Astyanax mexicanus: one gene and its partners. The protein of the gene in region 3 purifies or fractionates together with the protein of the main gene of each other region. This does not show direct contact. Links are inferred from orthologs where the notes say so. Each region holds a gene or a part of one and is shown on either strand. Other genes may lie near its edges. The genes, in order: sec13, nprl3 and wdr24.

Region 1 (4,537 bases), on a different chromosome or scaffold from region 3:
TAAAGGGTTAAACTGACAGGTCTGCTGTTAACAGGACAAAAGAAAAACATTAAAATATTAAAATAAAAGTTTATTAACAGTAAAAAGTATTTTTTTTAATATTAGTCACTTAATTCCACGCCCGCATGCGCACACAGCCTCTCTTACCGAAAGTCTTTGTCAGTTGAGGTCATTTTTTCCAACAAGTTGGAAATATAATAGGTGATATTCGACATTTTGACTTTTTTAAACTCTAAATTAACACTAATAAAGCGAGATTATGGTCTGAACGGGGTAAAAAGAGAGAGAAGTGTTCAGGTCAGGATCATAACGCGTGATTCAGAGCGGCTCTGTGGCGCAGAGTAAACTCAGAAACACGACACTCAACAGCACACAGATATTAATAGAGCGATATTACTCAGGGCGCTCCAAACGGAACACATGCAGCCTAACTAGGGCACTTAAGAAGCAGGAACTCTCTGCGTAGTGTTACAGTATAGGGTGAGAGTATGGAGGGAATGGGACAGGGCCTGCAGCGTTAGATAGACTGCCACCTTGTGGCCACTATACAGATTACAAGATTAAACATAAAATACAATACAATACAACTCCTGATCTCCGGACTGAGATTTATAAATGATTTTTATTAATTTATTATACTTACGGAAGCTCATTCCCACCACCTAAAATTAAAAAAGAAAAACATTTTTTTTTTAGTATTTTAAAATTCCAAGCCCTTTTTTAAATACTAGTAGACTGTACAGAGACCGAAGCAGGTAAGACAAAGACTATATCAAAATAATGAAATAGTAGTTGACTTAAAAATACAAATTAGAGTTTTTTATATTGTAGGCGGCAGGAATGGGCTTTTAATAAATAAAATATTTATTATTATTATTATTATTATTATTATTATTATTATTATTATTATTATTATTATTATTATTATTACTGTTGTTGTTGTTATTATTTTTTATTAATTTTACTGTTACGCTAATCATTAAACTGCGGGAACAGTTTATTAAATAGTAGTAATTATTTATTGAAGTCTATAATTTAGGACACTGAGAGAACATTTAGAAAAACGAGGGGAGGATTTATTCAATTAAATTGAGATAATCCTTTATTAAATTAAGGGGAAAAAAATATTATTATTGTTATTGTTAGTAGTAGTAAGAGCAGTCGTATTACTACTACTTTTCATTAAACTGGTGGAACAGTTTATTAAATTTAGGTAATTATTTATTAAACTCTAACGCTCTGGATGACATATTTCATGCACCGATCATTTATTAATTCTGTTAATTTCAATGTTTAAACTAAATTGTGCTGAAATCCAGAAGCTTCGGAACTATTATTCGGGTCCGTGTCTCCACCCGGAACCTTTATGAAACCGGCGGTCTGTTTGCCACGTAGAGATCAGTTCTGCCCTTTGGCTGATTTTCTCTCCGGATAAAGTTACTGTTTTATAGTTTCTCTGGATCCGGATTAATAAAGGAAGATGGTGAGTATTAAAGCGCTAATAATCTCAGATTAATCCCGCTGTTTCTGACCGCTGTCTGTGTTTAAACCGGTAAAAAACGCTGTTATTTAGCGGAGAGCTAACAGGCTAACATTAGCACCCGGATTCTGTAATATAATAAATAAAGAGCGTAAAACCGATTATAACCTTTATTTACAGTAAAGATACACTTTTATTAACTGGTTGTGGATTAACTGCTCGTGTTTAAGGTTAAAGATGATCTGAATAAAAGATGATTAGTGTTAAAGTGACTAACGGAAACATTAGCCTAGACTTCCATTCATTTCAATACAAAAATAATAAATAAACTGAAATAAACTAAATGTGTTGTTTTAGCTTTAATTAAACTTTAATTCAGGTTAGTTTTCGTGAATTATAGCTTGTTTATTTAAGTGTACTGATGTTGGATAATTCTTAAGCTGTATATCCAGTATTATCCACGTAGGCATAACTCTGCAGCCAAACTTATTAAATAAAAAAAAATTAAAGAAGTAAATATGGGTTTAAAACAGCCAGAAGTGGCCCGTGACGATACGTTTAAAACTTATGCATGCTATTAGAATTGTCAGATATCATAGTTTAGTGAGTGATCTGGAGTCATATAACTTATACAGAGCTGTGATAAAGTAAGTTATTTGTCGCCTACAGATTTCTTTAGTTTTTGCTTTCTTTTCTGATTTTTTTTCTTTTTCAGCAGACACCACCCCCACTTTAAATGAATAATTAGCTTTATTAGTGTGTATACAGAGGTATAGTTACTGTGATCATGGTGCATATAATAGAGAGATAGTAATAGAAGCAAAATAACAGGCCAAAAAGGGGAGAGACAAAAAAACCTTACAAAATATAGCAAAAAAAAGTCAGATATTAAGGAACAACAACAGCGAAAGTATAAGAGCTACAATAGAGAAACAAATACGTTTTTGTATAATATGTGGAAATAAATAGAGAGAAAAGAATTAGAGAAAGAGATAAGTATCTGCCATTTCTCTCTCTCTCTCTCTTTCTTTCTTTCTTTCTCTGTCTGTGTGTGTGTGTGTGTGGGGGGGGGGATTAGGGCTGCAACTAATGATTATTTTGTTAGTCGACTAATCTGATGATTGTTTTGTGGATTAGTCGATTAGTCAACAATTATTTCTGTCATGTTCTCCATCTCTAAAAACAATAAAAACAGTTACAAATTATATTTAAAAGGCGTTATTTAAAATATTTAAAATTATATTTAAATGTCTGGATGTTGTGAAAAGTGCTGATATTTAGTGAGTTAATTTGAAATCTGTGCATTTTTGGGCAATTTGGGCACTTTAGGAGAGGCAGACGAAGTTAAGACGTTTACCCATCACCCATTGCGCTTCTGTTCCCAGCCCTTTGTGTAATGCAGTACTGTTACAAATGAACACTTAGTCGACAATTAAAATTTGTAGTCGACAAATTTAAATAATCAACACTGTCGATTATATTGATTAATCGTCACAGCCCTGATCGGAACATTCAGGCAGAGGTTTTGGATGTATAGGAGGATTACCTGTGTAATGGTTGTGTTAGTGGTGTGTTGATCATCTGTGTGTGTGAGAGCTTCGTTTTTATTATACTATTATAATTTTTTTATTATACACTTTGAATAGTTAATTCTCCATCACTCATTCCTTTCTGCTCTTGTATTTCAGGTGTCTGTAATTAATACAGTGGATACCTCACACGAGGACATGATCGTAAGTATTGGTTTGGTGGTTTTAGTGAACTTTGGTCTATTTTGTGTGCCTGATTGAGAATTCTTTAATAATCATTATCATCATCTTTATCTTCTCTTTCTTTCTCAGCATGATGCCCAGATGGACTACTATGGCACACGACTGGCGACCTGCTCCTCTGATCGCTCTGTGAAGATCTTTGATGTAAAGAATGGAGGACAGATTCTTGTGGCTGATTTGAGGGGGTAGGCAGTTTTATTTTTTGGAATATTCATTAATGTTGCTATAATATTATTACACTGTAAACCCATACAACCCATAAAACTCAAATGATTTAAGTCTGTTTTACATAAAATTTGATATTTCTAAACAATACTCAACTATTGACTATTTTGAGTTAGTTGAACTGAATTTGTGAGCTCATATACTGTACTATTCAAACTGAGTTCTTTGAGTTGAACCAACTGTTAATAACTGAGTTTAGTCTATTTTGCCATTAACAGCTTCTTTTCCATTGGCTTCTGTCACAATCTATTTGCATACTGGGTGTGTCCAACAGTTTCTGACTAACACTCACCATCAGTGTGTAGTGATTCCCCCTGGGCTACCTTACAAATAAATCAACTTCTCCTTTAGTTGTAATAAATTGATGTTCTAAGTTATGATAACTTAAGTTTTCATCCCCCATTACTTTAATTTTTTGAGGCAACCGGTTTCCTCAAGTTTTTGAAGTAAATTCAACTTATCCGGTCTTACAGTTTAGAGTCATTAGGTCATTTAATCGAATATTTAATTTGAAGTGAATGAATGCTTTCAGCACAAATTTATTCATTGTTCTTGATTGTATTCATCTTTTTTCTTTATCTTTGTTTATACAGGCATGAAGGTCCAGTGTGGCAGGTAGCCTGGGCTCATCCAACCTACGGCAACATCCTGGCCTCCTGTTCCTATGACCGAAAAGTCATTATCTGGAAAGAGGAGAACGGGACATGGGATAAGATGTACAAATACACAGGCCACAACTCCTCAGGTACCTTCTGCTGTGTTTATGATTTAATGGACAATAAATTATTTTAATGGATAATAAATTTACTGTGATAAACAATTTAATATTTTTTAAATAAAGTTGACATATCAGTTCATTCAATAGAATCTTCTCAAAAAGGATAATTTTACCATATAATGATACACCAGTGACCTGATAGAGGTGTTTGCTGGAGTGGTAGAGTTGAGGGGGGTGGAGGAAGGTTCAGTCTCATTCCCCAGGAAGCCCATTCACATTTTCAACAGCAGATCTGGTTTAGTTTGGGTGAATAGCTAGCTGACTGAGAGACCACATTTTTCC
Region 2 (4,537 bases), on a different chromosome or scaffold from region 3:
CCTTTATTTAAATGCAGCAGCTAGTTTAACCTCTGCTTATATTGTCAAATTTTTATATCCCCACAGAATTCGGTTTTAAAAACGTTATTCAGCTCTATTGGTTATGGGCGGGACCATTAACAGACCGTCAGCTCCGCTCAGCCCCGCTCTGCAGCCTGTGACCTCGAGGCAGCCCTCAGGGGCGGGGTTATTTAAATGAGTAGGCTGCTCTCCACAGTCTTTCTCCCCCCTCTGGTCTCTACTGCGCAGAATCGGGTTTCAGGATCGCCAACATGGAGGAAGATTTCGGCTTCATTTTCACTGAATGAATGGGAACGGAGACACGGCGTCCATCTTTTTTTACAGTCTTTGGTTATCTCTAACTAAGAAACTTTAAGATGTATTTTTGGGAAAAAAAAACTAACAAACAAATAAATAAATAAAAATAACTATTTTGGAAAAATAAAACATAAATAAATAAATGATTTAGTTGAGCGTTATAATGCAATCCAAACCCACAACAACACAAACACCACAGTAATTTCAAAGCTTCATCAAAAGCAACAAGTCATTCTGCTCAATATTTTAATCAATGATCACCTCGAATCTCCATCCGGGTCATCTGTGACATCACTCGTGCTGCTCAACACATAGGGACTCCGCTGTTTTGCTTAAAAATAAAAACCATATCAAATCAGTATTGTCTGATTAGTACTGGTTATGTAAGTAAAATATTAATTCCAAATAATCTCCAAAAGTCAGATTTACAGAGAACACATTCTTTTTTTAACATTTGAGATACACAGCATGAAGAAAAGCAGCAACTATTGTTCAGCACCTCCAGAAACTCCTTCCTTCAAGGTGCTGAGAAAACCTCTTAAGTATAAAACATATTCTGGTTGTTTAACACTTTTTGTTTAATAAATAGCTCTGCGTTTGTTCCTTTATAGCTTTAATGTATATTTTTCATTGTAAAAAAAAATTACAGTTTAAGAAGAATCATAAAAAGAAAGGTGTGCCTAAACTTATGACTGGTACCTCAAATTCAGTTTTTTTTTTTCATTATTTTAAAATGTTAATAAAGTTATCCAATCTATGAAGAAAAGTTTAATTTGGTGAAATAGCCCGCAAACTAAAACATGTTTTTTTTCTGTTACTCATAGTAGTGTATGCTGGATTTTTTAATTTTTTTTATTTAATGTTTTGTCAGATTGCCAAGAATATCTTTATCGCAAAAAAAAAAGAAAAGAAAATTTAACTGGACCAAATTTCTAGAGTTGTCGGCAGAACTTCAATTAGACAAAAAATTTAATAAAAAAAATAGGCGCAATGTTGGAACTGGCACTCATCAGGACAGACCGCAACAGGATTGGTGGAGAGAGTATTTTGGTACAGTACTGATACTTGCGGATGAAGCGGTGTTCTCGGACACTTTGAGGAACGGGAACATACCATGACACAATTCAAAACATGAAGTTGGACCAACTTAATAACTTTTTTTTTTGGAACAAATTTCGAAAGTTGTCAGAAGAAATTAAATTAGACCAACTAGAGAAATTAAAAAAGGATAGGTGCAACAGGTCAGTTGGTAAGATTTTTTTTTTCAGTGTAATGTTGGAACTGGCACTCATCAGGACGTACCGCCCCAGGATTGGTTGAGAGAGTATTTAGGGTTAGAGTACTGATACCTGCGGATGAAGCGATGTTCTCGGACACTCTGAGAAACGGGTATCTGAACAGCAGTTTGTTTCCTCTGCTGCCCGAACTGACCAGGATCACGCTGATCGGGCTGTTCTTCTCCCCGTGGTTCTGCAGCACGGTGTCGGGCGGTCTGGGTTCGGAACCGGGGTCCAAATCTACCGAGGACTGCCTGGACATTTTACTGGGTTTAGAGAAGCCTGGGGTCTTTCTTACTGTATAAACCAGCCTGTAGCTTTATATACCCATCTCCCAGCTCTTCAACCACAGATAATACCTTAATATGAAGAGTATCTGCGATATGAAGCCTAAATAAATCACTATAAATTAATAAACCAGTAAATAAATCACTATAAATTAATAAACCATTATACTAAATACACCCTGATATACAGTACTGAGGCTACAGCTAGCTAACATAAAAACCGAGTAAACTCCAGCCCCACAGACCTTAACTATACTTTAATCACTAATATATTAATTATTTTAATTCATGTTTAATACAAACCAGCCTAAAATCCCCTATTTTAACATTAATTTCTTAGGAAATACGTGCTAACATGCGCTACTGGTTAGCATTAGCTTGGCTCAGTGTTTTGAGTCACACTTTTTTGGTACCGTAGGAAACAGACACTGCCTTTTAAGGTTCCGACTTTCATCAAGGCCTAAATAAATCACCATAAATAAAAACAGTAAATAAATTCTATAAATTAATACATTAGTCAATAAACCATGATAATGACAGTTAATGCAGATTAAACACAGGGAATACAGCTAACTAACATCCAGCCCCACAGACCTTAACTATACTTTAATCACTGATATATTCATTATTTAAATTCGTGTTCAATAAAAAAACAGCCTAAAATCCCCTATTTTAACAGTAATTTCTTAGGAAATACGAGCTATGCAATAACGTGCTATTGGTTAGCATTAGCTTGGCTCAGTGTCTTGAGTCACGTTTTTTGTTACCGTAGGAAACAGACTCTGCGCTTTAAGGTTCCGCACTGCACCATTAAATGCTATATTATAGATAGATAGATTTAGTTAGATTTGGTTTACATTTTTGCTTTGTCTTGTTTACTCTGCTTCATTTTTACGTCTATATGTACATAATCTGCACTGTAAAACATTACAGCCACATTAAGTTATGTGAACTTATTTGTTCTTTTCAATTCCAATTGCCATGACAAGTTTAGTATATTGAACTCAAGTTCCTTCGTTTTACATAAAAATAACTTAAAATAACATATTGTCTTAACTTCCTGTGAGTTATTCAAATTTACCCAAGTTTATTCAACTTACGTTTTTAAGTTATTGGTTAAAAAAATGAAAGTGGGAAGATTTAAAAATGCAGAGAGGTAGAGTGATAGGCAGCAAGTTAGAAAAGACTGGAGTACTTTTTACAACTTTAAAACTGTGGGCACATTGGGCTAAACACTTTTTAACCGATGCATAGCAGTTAATAATAACAAGCTGCGGAGGGACACGCCTATCTCCGGACTCCTTGAGTGCGGCGTGAGTCACCAAGGAGACCTGAGAAATGTGTGCTACTGTTTCAGCAGAGCGCCTACGACGGTGCAGCGAGCGGTGTTCTGTCGAATTGTGCAACCCATCGAGATGTGCTTCTTAACACCAGTGCCCATGGGTGAAACACTTTTTATTTGTTTATTATTTTTATGGTAATTATCTCTTACTTGCCATTATTTCTGAGTATTACACATGCGTAAATGACAGCTGATAATAATGAAAGTAATAATAAGTGAGCAATGAAAAAAATAAGGCTTATAATCACCCCTATAACTCTAAACTGTCTCCTGATATTTTGTTTCAGGCTTTCCAAATATCCTACCGAAAGTGTGTTTAAACATGGGGCCTTTTCTAGCAATTTTACATTTAAATAAGCGCTAGGGAAGCACGGTTTGACAGGGTAGCAAAACTCGACAGAACACCGGATGGAAGCCTAGTTCGAATCCTAGTCGTCCCATGTTTTTTTTTTCATAATGACAATTAATGTTCTCTTTTTTAAAATATCTATTTATGTAGCCTACATATTTCTACATATTTCATGTGATATATATTATTTAACAAAGACTAACTGTAAAGAGTTTTGCTATATTTAAATTTTAAATATAAAATTGCTAGAAAAAGCCCCATATTTAAACATGATTTCGGTAGAATATTTGGAAAGCCTGAATCAAAATATCAGGAGACAGATGACATCTTCAGATGTTAGTTAGGTTAACGATGCATACCACGTCGTTGTACGGGAAACGCACCCCTGGGGTGCGTTTCCCGTACAACGACGGAGCCTAGCATTGAACTAACGTGGTACGATGCATCGTTAAACTAACTAACATCTGAAGTACGACCGTTTCCCGAAACCATCGTACTTTGTTGGTACCACAGAAGTCTGGATTATGTTGGTTTAAACCACCGTGGTCTTAACTAGGGTGTTTCCAGATGTGTTCGGCCAGACTTTCCCAGCAGAAAACGTGCAAAACTCACAATCTTTAAAATATTATGCCAAAAATATGTTTCTAATGTATCATTTAGGCTATTTATATTGTAATTATCACCAGAACATAACGGACAACAATACTATTAATAAAATAACAATGAACTGCAAGTAAAATGTACACAATAATTGCTACCCCACTGTGCAAAAGGACACTGGGCCAGATCCGTTTTGAATTGTGCCGGATCTGGGCCAGATCCTTTTTGCTATCTGGGTATATATTAATTATTATTTGTAACAGACAGTGTTACTTATAAAAAGCATACACATATTTGCTATTGCAATATTGTTTTAAAATAAAATAATCACCATTCTGAATGAGTCTTATTAAAATGAGACATG
Region 3 (4,537 bases):
GTATTTAACCAAGAACAATTTGTATTTTTTTCCCTTGCATTTAGTTTAATTTATAGATTTATTCACAAGCTTTTTCTACTGAGAATTTTAACTGAACATTTAAACATCTGATATTTTATAAGCCTTTGTTACCCACCTCTGCTTTAATGAACACAGCACTAGTGACCTGTAGTTACTGTATAGTTCATCACTGGAAGTTTATCCGGTTCACCATGTCTCCTCATGTCAACACAAGGCACGGGCACCTCAGTCCCCTGCACGTGCCCCATGCAAAACAGTGATCTGTTAAAGGCAAAGAGAGAGACAGAAATGTATATGTATTTTTTTTTTTTTATCACTACTATTTTTGTCACTTCTATTCAAATATTATAGCGAGTATTGCCATTTTTGCTGTTAGTGTAGAGGGTGAGAGACATACAAATGGAGAATAGTTTAGCTGCTTTGATTTTTTAGTATTCGCCTGTAATGAAATTTCAGCAACCAACCATGGTCAGTGCGGGACCATGATAATTTATTCTTGTGTCGGTTACATAATCTCTATTAACGTGTTGTAGTGGGTGACAAATTAAAGGAAAACCCTTAGAAAATAAGTGTAGATTATTCCATAAACTACAGCAAGTTTGAAAAGGGGGTTCATTGTTGAGCAGCAGAGAGCACAGAGAGGCAGTTTATTCACCAATAAATAAATAAAATAGCATAAATGTATTTTAACTTGCTAGTCTTTGGCATTTTCAGCTAATTAATGTCAGTTGATAAATAATTGGTGCATCCATAATGGAATACATTAAGAAAACAATGCAGGTCAGGAGGCTTTACCCCTATACTGTGAGAGGGTCAGGTGGCTCTATTTTGCAGTAGGGGCATCTTGCTAGAATGGCTTGGGTCCACTTGCCCTCTCAAAGGGAAGATAGGTCGCTGTGAATCAAACTATAAGTCATTTTGACATATCACTTTTGTCCTGTTTAAAATAATTGCTATATTGGTTGGAGAGTTGCTTCCAGGATGCCTTTGTTACCTTTCACAGGGAACTTAGTTTAGTTTAGTTATATTTTATCCACTCCTAAATGTTCCTTTGGTAATTTTTTTGAACAAAGCAAATTTAGCATGTAAAAAACTGATTAAAAGTGATTTGATGCCATCCTCAAGTCCTTAAAAGTTTTTAGTTTGTTTGAAAACAACATGAATGACTTATGTTTGTTTCCACTGTTTTGTTACCAAAAGAGTAGTCCAAGTTTGTCAAAGGCAAAGAGCAGAGTACCGTATGAACATTTCCACTATTCCCAGTTGCATTAAAAAGAAATTGTCAAAACAAAAAACCTGTAAAATATTTTAAAAAACATGTTGCATGCTTATAGCATATAGTTGCATCTATATGTACCCACTAAACCACATTAAATGTGTATTTGCTTATAATATAGTAAGAATTTGTCACCATTAAGATACATTACATATTTGTGTTTAATATTTCCACCTATATTTGGTATATAAACAACATATTCTGAAATACATTCATGCATTTTTACAATGTAATGCAATGCAGTTTATCTGTGTTTTTATGCAGTAAAAATTTGTTTTTAGGTACTTTTTTTTTTAGTTTTTCACTATTAGAGAATAGTTTAATAGTTGCAATCTTGTCTATAGTGCCCCTAAAGTTTTAAGGTACAAAAATAATATTTAGAGGCCTAAAATGTTCCCTTGTGTAATAAAACATGGCCAGAATTAAATAACTTTATTATTTTCAGTTTAATAAAATAGTGCCTCTAATAAAAAAAAAAACACTCCATCAATTAAACAAAATATTCCCAAAATGTAACCAATCATTCTCTAAATAAAAAAAACAATTACTGCATCTAATAAATAATTTCTTAGATTTAATAAAATAATACACAGATTTGATAAATATGTTTTTCATTAACAGATTAAATGTGTTCCTTTAAAGTAATGAAACATACCATCCCTGCTTAGAATTTCCTTCCTGTCCCTCCTGCCCCACCCCTAAACCTACACATCACCCAGTGTTACTCCCAAACTACCCCTCTCATTTATTTATTTATTTAGCATTTTTCAAGTCTGAGCTGTGGGGGGATTCAGCTAATACCAGGGGGTTTAGTTACTCTTTAGTTAACTCCTAACCAGCACAGAGTATGTTTTCTCTGGATTACTAGCTGGATTTTTTTAACAGGGATGTAATGAATCATTCCCTCAATGTAATAAACCGTTCCAATGATGTAATAAAATATCATAAACAATAAAAAAAAACTTATAAAAAGAGAATTATGTAACGTTAATTAATATTTTTTCGGCGTTAATAAATAATTAACTGCGTTTAATAAATCGTTAGGTAAGTGTAAGGTAAGTGTAAGTTAAGTGAATCGTGGTCTTTGAATTTCTGCTATTTGTAAACACGGGTCTGTTGGTCCATGTGCTCTTTTTTAGTAAACAGGAGATTTCCGATAAGAGCTCTCAGACTGAACACATTCCCTCACAGTGCTGTGGAACAAAGTGAGTGCAGAGCTGCTCTAATCTGCTGCAGGAAACTGGAGAAATTAATAATAATCAGTTTTAGAAGAAGTAAAAACAGATCCCTGAACCTCTCTCTGCTGCTCCTCCGCCGCTGCAGTAACTCAACCTGCCGCTCCGGCTCTGTATCTCTGTGTGTGTCTGCTCTTCTCGGCTGGTGTTGATTCTGTTTTATACAGCGATAATAATAATAACGATAATAAAAATGAGTTAAAAAAAATCCCATAACTGACCTTTCAAAACAAACCTGCAGGAGAAAGAGGAACCGGATGTGGAGCATTCACTTCCGCTTTGGTGCAGCACGCGCGTGTGTGTTTTTAGTTACAGAATTTAAAAGTGGATTTCTCGGGGTTCTCTGCTTTTTACACGAGAGGAAATACTATCAGCAATTTAATACATCTAATAATCCCATACTGTTAGTATTTCTTATTATCTAGGTGAATATAGGGAGTCTAAGGTATGTATTACCGACTAAAAGCCCATTCTGAGTAAATGTAGTTTTAATAGAAATTGAATGTAGTTTACTTTGCTGTATATAGTACTGTGGAGTTATTAATCTTTATTGTTTTAATAATTAAATATCGTTTTTAACTATGTCCTCTACTGAAATAAAACAGTGGAATAGATCAGAAAGTAGAGCTGCAGGGCTTTACTGTGGCTGTAATTCACACTTGTTGCAATGTATTAAGACAAAATTGAAGGTGACTTTTATTACTGCAGGTTAAATAAGCTACACGGACTAGTAAAACAGGCGGGGCGCGTTTCATTTCTGTTTTAACGCCCTTCTGCACTTCTGCACTCTAAATTCAAATTAAGCTGATATATATATATATATTTCTTTATTTAAGAAAATTATTTCATGTGTTCTCTTTAATTATTTTAAAACGAAATGTATTGAATACATTTTTATACACTGAGGGAAGATTTTAAGTCTCTAAATATATTTTTTGTACCTTGATACTTTGGGGTCTCTACACAAAACACTGTACTGACGTTTTTTAATGTAGAAGCAAACACCAGTAACATATTAATGGGCAAAATAAAGTTTTGATTAAAGTAGGGCTGAGTGATATTGTAAAACAATTGTAAAATATTGATTTTTTTTTAGTTCTTACTTAACTTTTTATATGTAAACAGGCTGTACCATTTAAAGTGATGTACAAGTTGTTGTTTCCTTTACATGTCATTGCCTTTTATTTATTTATTTTTCCAGAATAGTAAGCAGCCCCCTTTAACCTTACATAACCTCCTTGTATTTCAGTTTTTATTTTAGGAAAATAGTTCTTTATAGGTTTCAGACATAAGCAAATGTCTATCTACTGAGAACTGATTAATTCAGTTGATCAGTTTGATTTGATTAACCTTCCATCCTGTACTGTACCCTCCTCCTCTCTTGTACAGCAGATGGTCACTTGTATGACATAACTGATACAAGTCTGCTTTCTTATTGGATTTTTGGGAAGAAAAAAGTATGAATTGGAACAGTTTAGACAGAAAGTAATTACAGGGCTGTCTTTTTGACTTTTAATATTATTTCCTCAATTCAATTGTAGCTGAACACAAGCTGAAATTTAGTATTTGATTTTATTTTGACTTAGGAGATTACTTTATTGCATTGTCTAGAGTGTGGAATTAGAGTACTTTTCTACGTATTTGGTCAGACCAGCATAAAAATTGAGCTAATGATTAAAATAACATACATTTCATTTTTAGGCTTGTAATTTTACCTAAATCAGATATTTAAGCTAAATAAACTCTTTCTCTCTGTATTTCTCTATATGTCTGTTAGCATGTCTGGGGCTGAGCAGCTGTACACCTGTGAAGATCCGGCAGTGTGGACGCGTATTTACGGCAAATACTGGACTGTGGTGGAAGCAAAGTCTGCTGGAAAAGGGAAACGTTCGGGGAAGCTGTTGGCTTTAGACAAATGGTACGACAGACAGGTGCCATGAATGAAAAGCTATAGACACAGCTTCACAGTCTGATATAGTCTCTCATTTACACACATCAGTGCTTG

The links.
Region 1: the proteins of wdr24 (region 3) and sec13 purify together in Homo sapiens (affinity purification with mass spectrometry; 5 studies listed by BioGRID and IntAct, counting the BioPlex papers as one, with this or other methods). This does not show direct contact. The link is inferred for Astyanax mexicanus from reciprocal best matches to the Homo sapiens genes WDR24 and SEC13.
Region 2: the proteins of wdr24 (region 3) and nprl3 purify together in Homo sapiens (affinity purification with western blotting; 6 studies listed by BioGRID and IntAct, with this or other methods). This does not show direct contact. The link is inferred for Astyanax mexicanus from reciprocal best matches to the Homo sapiens genes WDR24 and NPRL3.

The regions. Positions count from the first base shown.
Region 1 is NC_064431.1:1,059,175-1,063,711, reverse strand, and holds the start of sec13 (protein SEC13 homolog), read left to right. Parts: upstream 1-1,340; 5' UTR 1,341-1,480; coding exon 1,481-1,483; intron 1,484-3,168; coding exon 3,169-3,213; intron 3,214-3,321; coding exon 3,322-3,437; intron 3,438-4,070; coding exon 4,071-4,222; intron 4,223-4,537. Other genes in the region: cand2 (cullin-associated NEDD8-dissociated protein 2), read right to left, coding at 148-215. UniProt on the Homo sapiens protein: Functions as a component of the nuclear pore complex (NPC) and the COPII coat. At the endoplasmic reticulum, SEC13 is involved in the biogenesis of COPII-coated vesicles.
Region 2 is NC_064410.1:64,278,255-64,282,791, forward strand, and holds the start of nprl3 (GATOR complex protein NPRL3), read right to left. Parts: upstream 2,708-4,537; 5' UTR 1,858-2,707; coding exon 1,668-1,857; intron 650-1,667; coding exon 580-649; intron 1-579. UniProt on the Homo sapiens protein: As a component of the GATOR1 complex functions as an inhibitor of the amino acid-sensing branch of the mTORC1 pathway.
Region 3 is NC_064413.1:14,970,572-14,975,108, reverse strand, and holds the start of wdr24 (GATOR complex protein WDR24), read right to left. Parts: upstream 2,792-4,537; 5' UTR 2,754-2,791; intron 2,741-2,753; exon of another isoform or gene 2,592-2,740; intron 283-2,591; 5' UTR 137-282; intron 1-136. Other genes in the region: uncharacterized protein zgc:112496, read left to right, coding at 4,311-4,450. UniProt on the Homo sapiens protein: Catalytic component of the GATOR2 complex, a multiprotein complex that acts as an activator of the amino acid-sensing branch of the mTORC1 signaling pathway. The GATOR2 complex indirectly activates mTORC1 through the inhibition of the GATOR1 subcomplex.